Oryza sativa Japonica Group: one gene and its partners. The main gene of each other region encodes a partner of the protein of the gene in region 2 in a complex. Links are inferred from orthologs where the notes say so. Each region holds a gene or a part of one and is shown on either strand. Other genes may lie near its edges. The genes, in order: photosynthetic NDH subunit of lumenal location 3, chloroplastic; NAD(P)H-quinone oxidoreductase subunit S, chloroplastic; NAD(P)H-quinone oxidoreductase subunit O, chloroplastic.

Region 1 (3,014 bases), about 5.0 Mb from region 2:
ATATCTGCAAACTTGTTCTAGTTTCCGTGGCTATAATGTGTGAATGATTTTGTTCCCCTTGGACACAGCCATGCCTTGGAGGAGACTCGAAGACACTTATGTTTGTGAATCTGTCTCCAGAGGTGTCGTCTACAGGGGAGTCAATTTGCTCGCTACGGTTCGCAGCACGGGTGAACTCGTGCGAGATTGGCATCCCTCGTCGTCAAACCCAAGTGCGTAGCTTGGCGCAAGGATGAGTTGGCTTGGACAAAATGAATGTCCATGACTAATTGTATTTGTGTGTTGTTTGAGGGATGCAATGGATCATTTGCATCCCCTCCGTGTGTTGGTTGCTTAGAGGGTGTGTATAATATTCTGATTTGGCATGTGGCTTTGTTGATTGTACGAGCATCGCATTGCATTACATTACAGATAGTACTGTAGTATCTAATTTGTGGCTGCATCAATGTGCAGTGGTAGTAACAAGATGTGAGGTTGGTTGTATTTTATTGGAGAAGTGCCCTGTGTTGTGTTGGGCTGGCTTTGTTTGGATGATAAAGACAGACAAGTAATTGGAATTGAAATGCTCTGTTGCTTTTTAGTACTTACTGAGTATGAAGTTATATTGCATAGCGTAGATGTGAATATGAATATGTGTGTGATGAGGAGGATATATATATATATATATATATATGTATGTATGACAAGTAAAGTGAGAGAAATACAGTACTAGCTAGTACACCAACAGAAACACTAGGCCATCTTTGCCATGACCTCCTGGAGGATGATCTTGGTGTCGGCATAGGAGGAGCCGATCTGGGTGTCGTCCTTGGTGCCGCAGGCCTTCTGGAGGCGCTCGAAGCTGTCGAAGAGGCGGGTGGCGAGGTCGAGCAGCGGGGGGCGCTGGTCGTCGGAGGCGGCGGAGATGAGCTTGTCGAAGTCGAAGTACATGAAGGTGGACTTGAGGCGGAGGTACTTGGTGACGTAGTTGGCCCTGTCGGCGTTGTTGCCCAGCAGGTCCTCCAGCGCCAGCAGGTCGAACGCCGTGCTCCGCAGCCTGTACGCGTGCGCCGCGTAGCTCGGCCCGATGTCGGCTATGTAGATGCCGTTCCTCACGAACGTCCGGCTCCCCGTCTCGCCATTGTTCAGCTCCTCTGCACACACAATATATATATATATATATATATATATATATATATATATATATATATATATATATATATATATATATATTGCAATCACTATATTTATATATTTTGTGTGTGTAATGGTAATTAATTTACTACTCACTGTTGACAATCTTTGGCACCGGCAAAGGGAACTCGGTGAGCCACCACCCATTGTTTGCCGGCTCGTCGTCGGTGGCGGCGCAGGCGGGATGATGCTGGAAGATGGTGGCGGCGGCGGCTGCGAGGCCGACGGAGAGGCAGGCTGATCTCCGTCCGCCAGTGGAGCACGCCGCCACGAGGAGGAGCAGCCTCCGTGGTGTTGGCCGGAGGAGGCGGCTGGTGCTGGCAGTGGCGGCGGTGAGGCCTGCTGATTGGAGATAAGTGGCCATCGAGGATGTGTGTCAGTGTAGCAAGGGAATGAATGGATAGCGCGCGATGCCACGAGAGGATGAGGAAAACCTTCGCCTTTGCAAAAGTGCACCACATAGATATTTCTCTCGGTTTGATGGGGCTGCCTCTCCTAGGGGCCGACAGAATGGCTGCATGAAGGAATTAGTCTAACTTGCCTCCCTCCTCTCTCGCTCTTGATTGAATCGTCTCTCTTAACCGCTAAACCTGGTATAATGCCTCCACCATCTTCTTATTCTGCAGGAGGTGATTCAGTGATTTTGAGTTAGTTTGTTTCGTTTTCCACGCACACACTTCCCGAATACTAAACGGTGTGTTTGTAAAAATTTTCTATACGAAAGTTGCTTTAAAAAATCATATTAATCAATTTTTTAAGTTTAAAATAGTTTATACTCAATTAATCATGTGCTAATGTCTCACCTCGTTTTGTGTATCTTCTCAATCTTCTCTCTTCCTCCTCTCAATCTGGTGCAAACCAAGGCATTTACATGTGGTTAGGGGTGGACAGAAAGCTTGTGGTTCGTTAGCTCACTCGGCTCGTGACAGGCTCGACTTGGCTTGTCTCGTTTGAATTTCCTAACGAGCCGAGCTGGCATCTTAGCTCGTTAGAGATAACGAGCCAGCTCGAGCTGCTCGCGAGCCTTAACGAGCTATGGGGTTACCAGGCCAAGTCAGGTCCACAGCTAACAGCACACATACATTATGGCCCATTGGCCCAATAGACTCATCAAAAAAAACCCTAGTTCACCTCAGCCTGAGACCCTGACTCCCTGTCCACCACCGTCTCGCACATATCGCATTCGCATCGCATCAGCGGCTTGGGCGCTCGGTGCATCTCGGCATCCGCATCTCGGCCATCGCCATCGGCGCTGCGCCACGCCGCCGTGTGAGCGCCATCGCCACCGCGCCAAGCCGCCGCCGCCAACCCCCATCGAGCGCCTGCCGCCGCCGCTCTCCGCCTCTCCCCCAGTGCCCGCCGTCGAGCTCGCCTCCTCCTCGTGGTCCAACCGTGAACTGTCCAAGTGTCGGCGGAGCTGTGAAGGTTGAGTTCATCCCCTCCACCATCGAGCTCCTCTCTGTAGTCGCCGTCGAGCTCAAGCTCGAGCTCGTTTTCTCCGCCGTCAAGCTCCTCCCCTCCTCCCCTAGTTGCAGACTTGAAGTGCAGGCGAGGTTGAGCTGCTTCCTATGCTCGCCGGCTATGTCTCTTGCCCCTAGCTCGTGAGCTTAACGAGCTAGCTCGAGCTTGTTGATGAGCCGAGCCGAGTCAACTCGATATCTATCCCTACATGTGATTCCATTTGTACACGTCAACAAGTTTGACCATGGTTAACTACCCCGTGAGTAGAAACTTTGCAACAATAGAAGAAATCGATTTGTAACTGTTTCGAATTTGGAGGATGCGATTCAGCACAACGCAATAGTGGAAGGAGGCAAAATAGACTTAAGCTATGTTCGATG
Region 2 (2,787 bases):
CGCGTGTGGAGGAGGAGGAGTGAAGTTTGGGCGTGGAATCGTGCGGTGGTGAATTCGTGCGCGCGGATGGACGGTAGGGATTAATCCGAGTGATTTGGCTCGTAGGATTGGAGGGGTACAACTCCTTTTTATATTAGTATAGATATAGATATAGATGGTGGTAATCAATACAAATTGTACTCTGTTTGCAAAACACTATATCATTATTGTTACTTCACTGTCTTCCTTTACCATCCTTTTAAATCTGCTGCTACACTTATTCCTGAGTAAGGCAGGTTATATAGAAGTAAAGGCCCTATCTTTTCATATACTCTTTCAAATAAACAAAAATCATGGGAAACCAGCTATCAGGCAAACGTAAACTACAATGCATAGATAGTTGCTGTGCGAAATACTGCGGGATTTTGAAGTCATGTCAGGAATAACGAACACTTGAACATTCATACTCTGTACAATTTACAATCATGAAAGCCTGGTTACCTGACTGTCATAGCCTCTTCGCTTCAAGAAGCAAGAGATGATAATTCAAGTTTGTAAAAAAAAAAATTAATCCTACCAACATAATGAACTATGGCAACTGGTGCCCTTGTAGGCATTTCACTAGCAATCCGGACCAAACGTGATCAAATTGATCAAACATATAGCAATTCAACAAAGAAGCTAAACTTTTATCTCCGAATCGTTTGTTTCATAGTGCCAATTCACACTAAGATTCCAACTGTACATATAGCAATTAACAACAACACATTTACTCACTTCGAAATTACTCATCGAATAGATAATATATATATATATACCCCTTTCACTTCCATCATCTAAGAAAATATAGATAGCTGTATACATACAAGAAGAAGCAGAAGCAGCAATGGTGGTCAAGCCGCGGCGGCGGTGCCTTCCTCCTCCTTCTTCTTCTTGGCCTCCTCTCCCTCCTCCTCCTTGGCCACATCGTCCTCCATCTCCGCGGCGAGGGACTCGAGCAGCACGGACTTAGGGTTCACCATGGGCGGGCCCTTCTCCCTCCCCTCGAGCTCGTCGAGATCGAAGGTGATGAGCCTGTCCCAGATCCCCCCCTCGAACAGCACCCCGACCTTGCCGTCGGTGACGCGCTGCACGATGCCGCAGTACATGTGGTAGGCGTTGTTGGGGTTCTTGACGAGCACCACCATCCCGGGGAGGAACAGCGGCAGCTCCGGCGCCCTCGGCCGCTCCACCGTGGCGGCGGCGGCGAGACCTTTCCTGTGCGCCGGCTTGGGGGGAGGCGGGTTCTTGGCGACGAAGTCCTTGAGGCCGACCTCGCCGCCGGGGAATCCGCCGGTGAGGCCCATCATCTCCTTGTCGAACGCGTCCGGGTCCACCCCGGACGCAGCCGGCGGCGGCGGTGGCGACTCCGCGGGCTCGTCGGAAGAAGTGGTGGTGGATGGCGGCGCGGCGGGGGAGTCGGAGGCGAGCTCCTTGCGGATGCCGACCTCGCCGTTGCAGAGACCCCGGCCGCCGAGGAGGTCAGCGACGCGGAAGGTCGCCGAGGGAGGGGGCAGGCGGACGATGCGGGGGTGGTGGTGGTGGGGCAGCGGCGGCGGGCGGAGGAAGGAGGCGGGGGTGGTGGGCGCCATTGGTGGAGCAGAGCGGAGCAGAGGATGTGTGGAAGTGACGAAGCCTTTAAAGCCTAGGTGGATGAGGACCGGGGGTGGCTAATGGGCGACTGGTACTGCTATACGGAGTACAGTATATACTTAAAGTACTACTAGTACTACTACCACTGTACTACTTTAAACTACTACTCCCTCCGTTTCATAATATAAATTATTCTAGCATTTATTACACGTTAACATCAATATGAATATGAAAAATACTAGAATGACTTACATTGTAAAACGGAGGAAGTAGTAGTAACTGGAGTACTACTAACTACTACTACTAAGGCTGTGTTTAGATCCAAAGTTTGGATCTAAACTTCAGTCCTTTTCTATCACATCAATCTATCATACACACATAACTTTTCAGTCACATCATCTTCAATTTCAACCAAAATCTAAACTTTACTCTAGAATAAACACAGCTAACTAGAACTAGTACTAGTACTACTAGTACTGGTAACTAGGACCACTACACCACTACTACTGTTATTATATACTACTAGTACTATTTAAAAAATATATTTTATATGTAAATATATACGCATATACAAAAGTTTATATATAACGTATAACAAAGTTTATGATATATATACAAACTTTATATATGTTCATTTTAAAAAATAAAAAAAAATAGAGGAAAACCATCACGTATATAAATTTTATATATACACTATACGCATATATATAAACTTTATATACGTATGTATATAAACTTTGTATACTGTATATACAAACTTTATATATGTGATGTTTTTTTTTTAAAAAAACAAAGAACCGAAGAAAACAACCATAAAAACCGGCGAAAAAAAAAGAACGCGGGCCTCCCACTGTGCGCGGCCGCCGCGCCCCCTCCCCCTCCTACGCGCGCCACGCGTCCATCCGCGCGGGGTGAGGGGGCACGCGACCAGTCGCCAATTAGGAATTTCGGATGAGGACCTCGTGTTTTTCGACTGAAAATTTTACATTTAAGCCCCTTTTTATTTTTTTTCATAAATAGGCCCCTAAAGTTACTATCCGTAAGAAATACTTCCTCCGTAAAAAAAAACCCAACCTAAGAGGAGATGTAGTGTCCAGATTCGTTGTACTGGGAGGGGTCAAATCCCCTCTTAGGTTGGTTTCTTTGGGATGGAGAGAATCACAAAATAACTCAATC
Region 3 (3,540 bases), on a different chromosome or scaffold from region 2:
AACATGTATGATCTCAACTGTCATTTCATTATTATTTTTCCTTCTAACAAATCTAATGCATCATTCATTTTACCCTCTACTTCTATCTTATTTTACTTCGAGCCAGCAAATCCCTGTGTTTCTTGTGAACCATCCATACATATTTCAAATTTTCATGGGATTAACTCGTAAAAATAACATGCGTTCCAAAAGAGCTTCATAACAAAACAAGGTGGTAATAACATGTGATTAATTAAGTTTTAATTATTACAAATTTAAAAACTAGATTAATCTAATATTTTAGAACAACTTTCGTATAGAAAGTTTTCGCACGAAACACACCGTTTAACAGTTTGAAAAGCGTGCCACGAATATCAAAAAAAAAATATCCTCTCTTCCTAGAGGATTCAAACGGGGCCTAGTGATGGATTTGTGCGTACAGAAGAAGTATGTTCATTAGAGTTTAAATTCTGATATCCGCAGTTACACGTACAATGAGTATTCTTTCAGTAGAACTTTTAGTTATTTCATGCATTACGAACGTGTTTAAAAGAGACGTTCTCATGGGTATGTGCATCCGTTAGCCTATTCTATATCAGTATATCTCTAACATTTTTTTTTTGAAGCTTACAGAATACGATCAGATGGCACGATAATTAGCCATCTCAAAAAATGAATCTGAATAGCTCTGAATATCATCACTTAACTTTTGTTAAATTTTTCAGTTCAGTATAATTAATTTAGATGCGGAGCAACAGGCAACAGCAAATCGCCTCATATTGACATCTATATACAACACATTGTCATATATCACGAACCGACTGAAAACATCTGCAGATTAATCGTCGGAAGAACCGAAATAGGGGAAGAATCTGCAATGCAGGGAAGAAAACAACTGAAAAAACGCTAGTCTGGCAGGCCAAGGACCGATCTCCCACCCGATTGCTGAGCTAGCTTGAACGCAACCTTCGATCCTGTGCATATCATATTCTCTCGTAGTCGAGTTTATCCGACTGTAAAAATAGTGTTAAGATTAAGTGGTCAAATGATGGTACATTCTGCATTTTGGCAATGCTGCATGTGTGATGGACTTAGAGATACTGTAATTACCTTGATGAGCATGTAAGTTGGCAGCCATGCCGGTGGAGTTGGGATTCCAACCCAAGCGATCTGTCCAAACATATGAATGAGATTCAGAAGTCCAAATCTACAAAATATACAGAAGAAATGAAGTGGCAGGTGACTCACCAGGGCATACTCCCCTGTTTCAAAGATTCTGATGTCCAAAACCTGCACGGTAATGACGAACAAGATTATGACCGTAGCTAGAACGAAGATGTTCTTACTGCTAGGTTTAATTAGCTGAAATTAACTTCAGGTTCAGTAAGATGGGCTAAATAATTACCTCGCCACGGTCCTCGTATATGTAGTCTAGCCCCTTGAAGAAAGGCGGGTGTCCAACTGACAGATACTGAATCAATGAAACAAATTTTTAAAAAAAATCATGTGCAGGGGAGGAAATCATAGACTGAAATTACAGCACAAAGAGTAGAAATGAATGAAGCATCTATGCAGTAGCATCGATCAGTGTGCTTACGTTGATGCTGTTCAAGTACTTCTCCTTGTCGACGCGCACAATCTGGCCCTTCTTCACTGTGGCGCATCATCAACCAAATCAATTGGATGAAAATAAATGGATTGGTTAATCAAGTATAAACAAAAAAACAAACAAGAAGCTAAATGGCTTTGATGCTTGTTCAGAACTCAGAGCTGAAATGCAAAGTTGCAAAGCGTATTCATTACTCGAGTAGACAGGTTTCTTCTTGAGGATCTTCTTCGGCGCCGGCGCAGCCGCCTGGCCGTCTCCCGCCGCCGCCGCGGCGCCGCCGGTGGCGGGCTTTTTCTCCTCCCCGGCCGGCTCGGCGGCGGCGGCGGCCGCCTTGACAGGAGAAGCAACACGTCTCCTCCTCCTGGCTGACGCCGGCCAGCACGCGGTTGGCGTGACGGAGAAGAGAGCGCGCGGCGAGGAGAGGAGAGCTTCCATGGCGAGAAGCTTAGCTTTGGCAATGGCAATGGCAAAAAGCAAAGTGACGAAGTGCACGTAAATATGTGCCACATGAATTGCACGCGGCAGATAAGGTGACCACTGGGCCTGAGCTAGCGCTCTCAGTTTTGGGCCAACTGTCACAAAGCTTCAGGCCCAGCTCACCTCATTTGGGTAAGGCCCATATATGATGATTATATTATATGAATGAATTAGCAAAAGAAAAGAGAGAGAGAGATAGACAGAAAAAATAAAGGAGAATTGGAGGAGTCAAGGTCATGGATCATGACACCGTCTTAGATTGTTGTATGCTCGACCTCAGCGAATGAGCGAGCAAATGAGGAATTCCGCTTTAGTTTTATGTCGCTATTTAGCTTGGAAAGAGTAAACAACAGCGGCAAGTGGAAGGGAGAAAAGCGTTGAGAGCAATGCAAAGCCTAGCTTAAGCTTAGGAGGACACCCCCCCCCCCTTTTTTTTTTTTTTTGCAATGGTCATCTTCTACCTTTGCTTCTGCTGGTTTGTGGCACTTGTCGTAACATGCACAATTGACCGATGCCAAGGATCCTTCCTCCTCAAATGAATCCACCGCGTTTTCAACGTCCCCATCCATCCATGATCCATCCCATTTGACCTCTACTTTAGCAAAACATAGCAACCCTTCGAAAATATTCGATCAAACCGGCCCCACGCGTACCATTATTTTGTCTTGCGACGGTTGCGCTGGAAAAAAGCAAAAAAAAATCATGAATCTTCTTCCGCATGTCCAGGTAGTGAATGATCCGAGCATATCCTGGCCCCACATGTCAGTCTAACGAACACCCAGGCGACTCCTGCTTGGGTACGGCCTTTTGCCTTTCCCAGATGTATAACAACTGCCATGTGGAAACTGCCATTAATTATTATCTGTATGACATGTGGGGACCACCCGATGACCCTTCCTCCTACTCTGCCTCGCGTTTAAAAGGTCATCGCCTTTCAAGTCTCTCGCTGCGCCTGCGCGTTGCCGTCGAGTCCAACTACTCCATCTCACTGACAGATGGGCCATTCGCCCTCGCGCCACAATGCATGCGGCGGCGGCGGCGGCGACGGCGAGTCGCCGCCCTCGCCGCTGCCGTCTCGCTTCGAGCGGTTCCGCCGCCGCCTCCGCCTGCGCCACCGCGACCGCGCGGGGCGTCCCGGTGGCGACGCCCACGCCTCCGAGTCGGGGACGGGGAGGGCCATCGCCGTCGACGAGTTCGCCGGCATCGCGCGCATCCGGATAGTGAAGGTACGGGGCCGGGTTGGGTGTGTGTGCTTGCGGCTGCGAAGCGGAGGGGGGTGGAATTGGGGATCGGTGGTTTTGATTCATTCCGTCTGTGTACGCTGCTGCTGTGGTTTTGTACGCGTTGTTTTGATTTGGTTGGTGGCCACAGGCGGATATGCAGTTCAAGGACAAGTTCATCGCGTGCCTCTCGCTGGGCGAGCGCACGTACCGCACCGAGAAGTCTGACAAGTTGAGCATATTTTTCATCTAATA

The links.
Region 1: NAD(P)H-quinone oxidoreductase subunit S, chloroplastic (region 2) and photosynthetic NDH subunit of lumenal location 3, chloroplastic share a complex: the UniProt entries of both Arabidopsis thaliana proteins name them as parts of the chloroplast NDH complex. The link is inferred for Oryza sativa Japonica Group from reciprocal best matches to the Arabidopsis thaliana genes NdhS and PnsL3.
Region 3: NAD(P)H-quinone oxidoreductase subunit S, chloroplastic (region 2) and NAD(P)H-quinone oxidoreductase subunit O, chloroplastic share a complex: the UniProt entries of both Arabidopsis thaliana proteins name them as parts of the chloroplast NDH complex. The link is inferred for Oryza sativa Japonica Group from reciprocal best matches to the Arabidopsis thaliana genes NdhS and NdhO.

Annotation. Positions count from the first base shown.
Region 1 is NC_089041.1:312,263-315,276, reverse strand, and holds photosynthetic NDH subunit of lumenal location 3, chloroplastic, read right to left. Parts: upstream 1,612-3,014; 5' UTR 1,538-1,611; coding exon 1,270-1,537; intron 1,134-1,269; coding exon 733-1,133; 3' UTR 552-732; downstream 1-551. Other genes in the region: kinesin-like protein KIN-14N, read left to right, coding at 69-236. UniProt on the Arabidopsis thaliana protein: NDH shuttles electrons from NAD(P)H:plastoquinone, via FMN and iron-sulfur (Fe-S) centers, to quinones in the photosynthetic chain and possibly in a chloroplast respiratory chain.
Region 2 is NC_089041.1:5,276,673-5,279,459, forward strand, and holds NAD(P)H-quinone oxidoreductase subunit S, chloroplastic, read right to left. Parts: upstream 1,702-2,787; 5' UTR 1,611-1,701; coding exon 873-1,610; 3' UTR 648-872; downstream 1-647. UniProt on the Arabidopsis thaliana protein: NDH shuttles electrons from NAD(P)H:plastoquinone, via FMN and iron-sulfur (Fe-S) centers, to quinones in the photosynthetic chain and possibly in a chloroplast respiratory chain.
Region 3 is NC_089035.1:42,962,868-42,966,407, reverse strand, and holds NAD(P)H-quinone oxidoreductase subunit O, chloroplastic, read right to left. Parts: upstream 2,089-3,540; 5' UTR 2,024-2,088; coding exon 1,783-2,023; intron 1,633-1,782; coding exon 1,577-1,632; intron 1,451-1,576; coding exon 1,385-1,450; intron 1,270-1,384; coding exon 1,228-1,269; intron 1,150-1,227; coding exon 1,090-1,149; intron 993-1,089; coding exon 963-992; 3' UTR 660-962; downstream 1-659. Other genes in the region: phosphatidylserine decarboxylase proenzyme 2, read left to right, coding at 3,061-3,291, 3,437-3,516. UniProt on the Arabidopsis thaliana protein: NDH shuttles electrons from NAD(P)H:plastoquinone, via FMN and iron-sulfur (Fe-S) centers, to quinones in the photosynthetic chain and possibly in a chloroplast respiratory chain.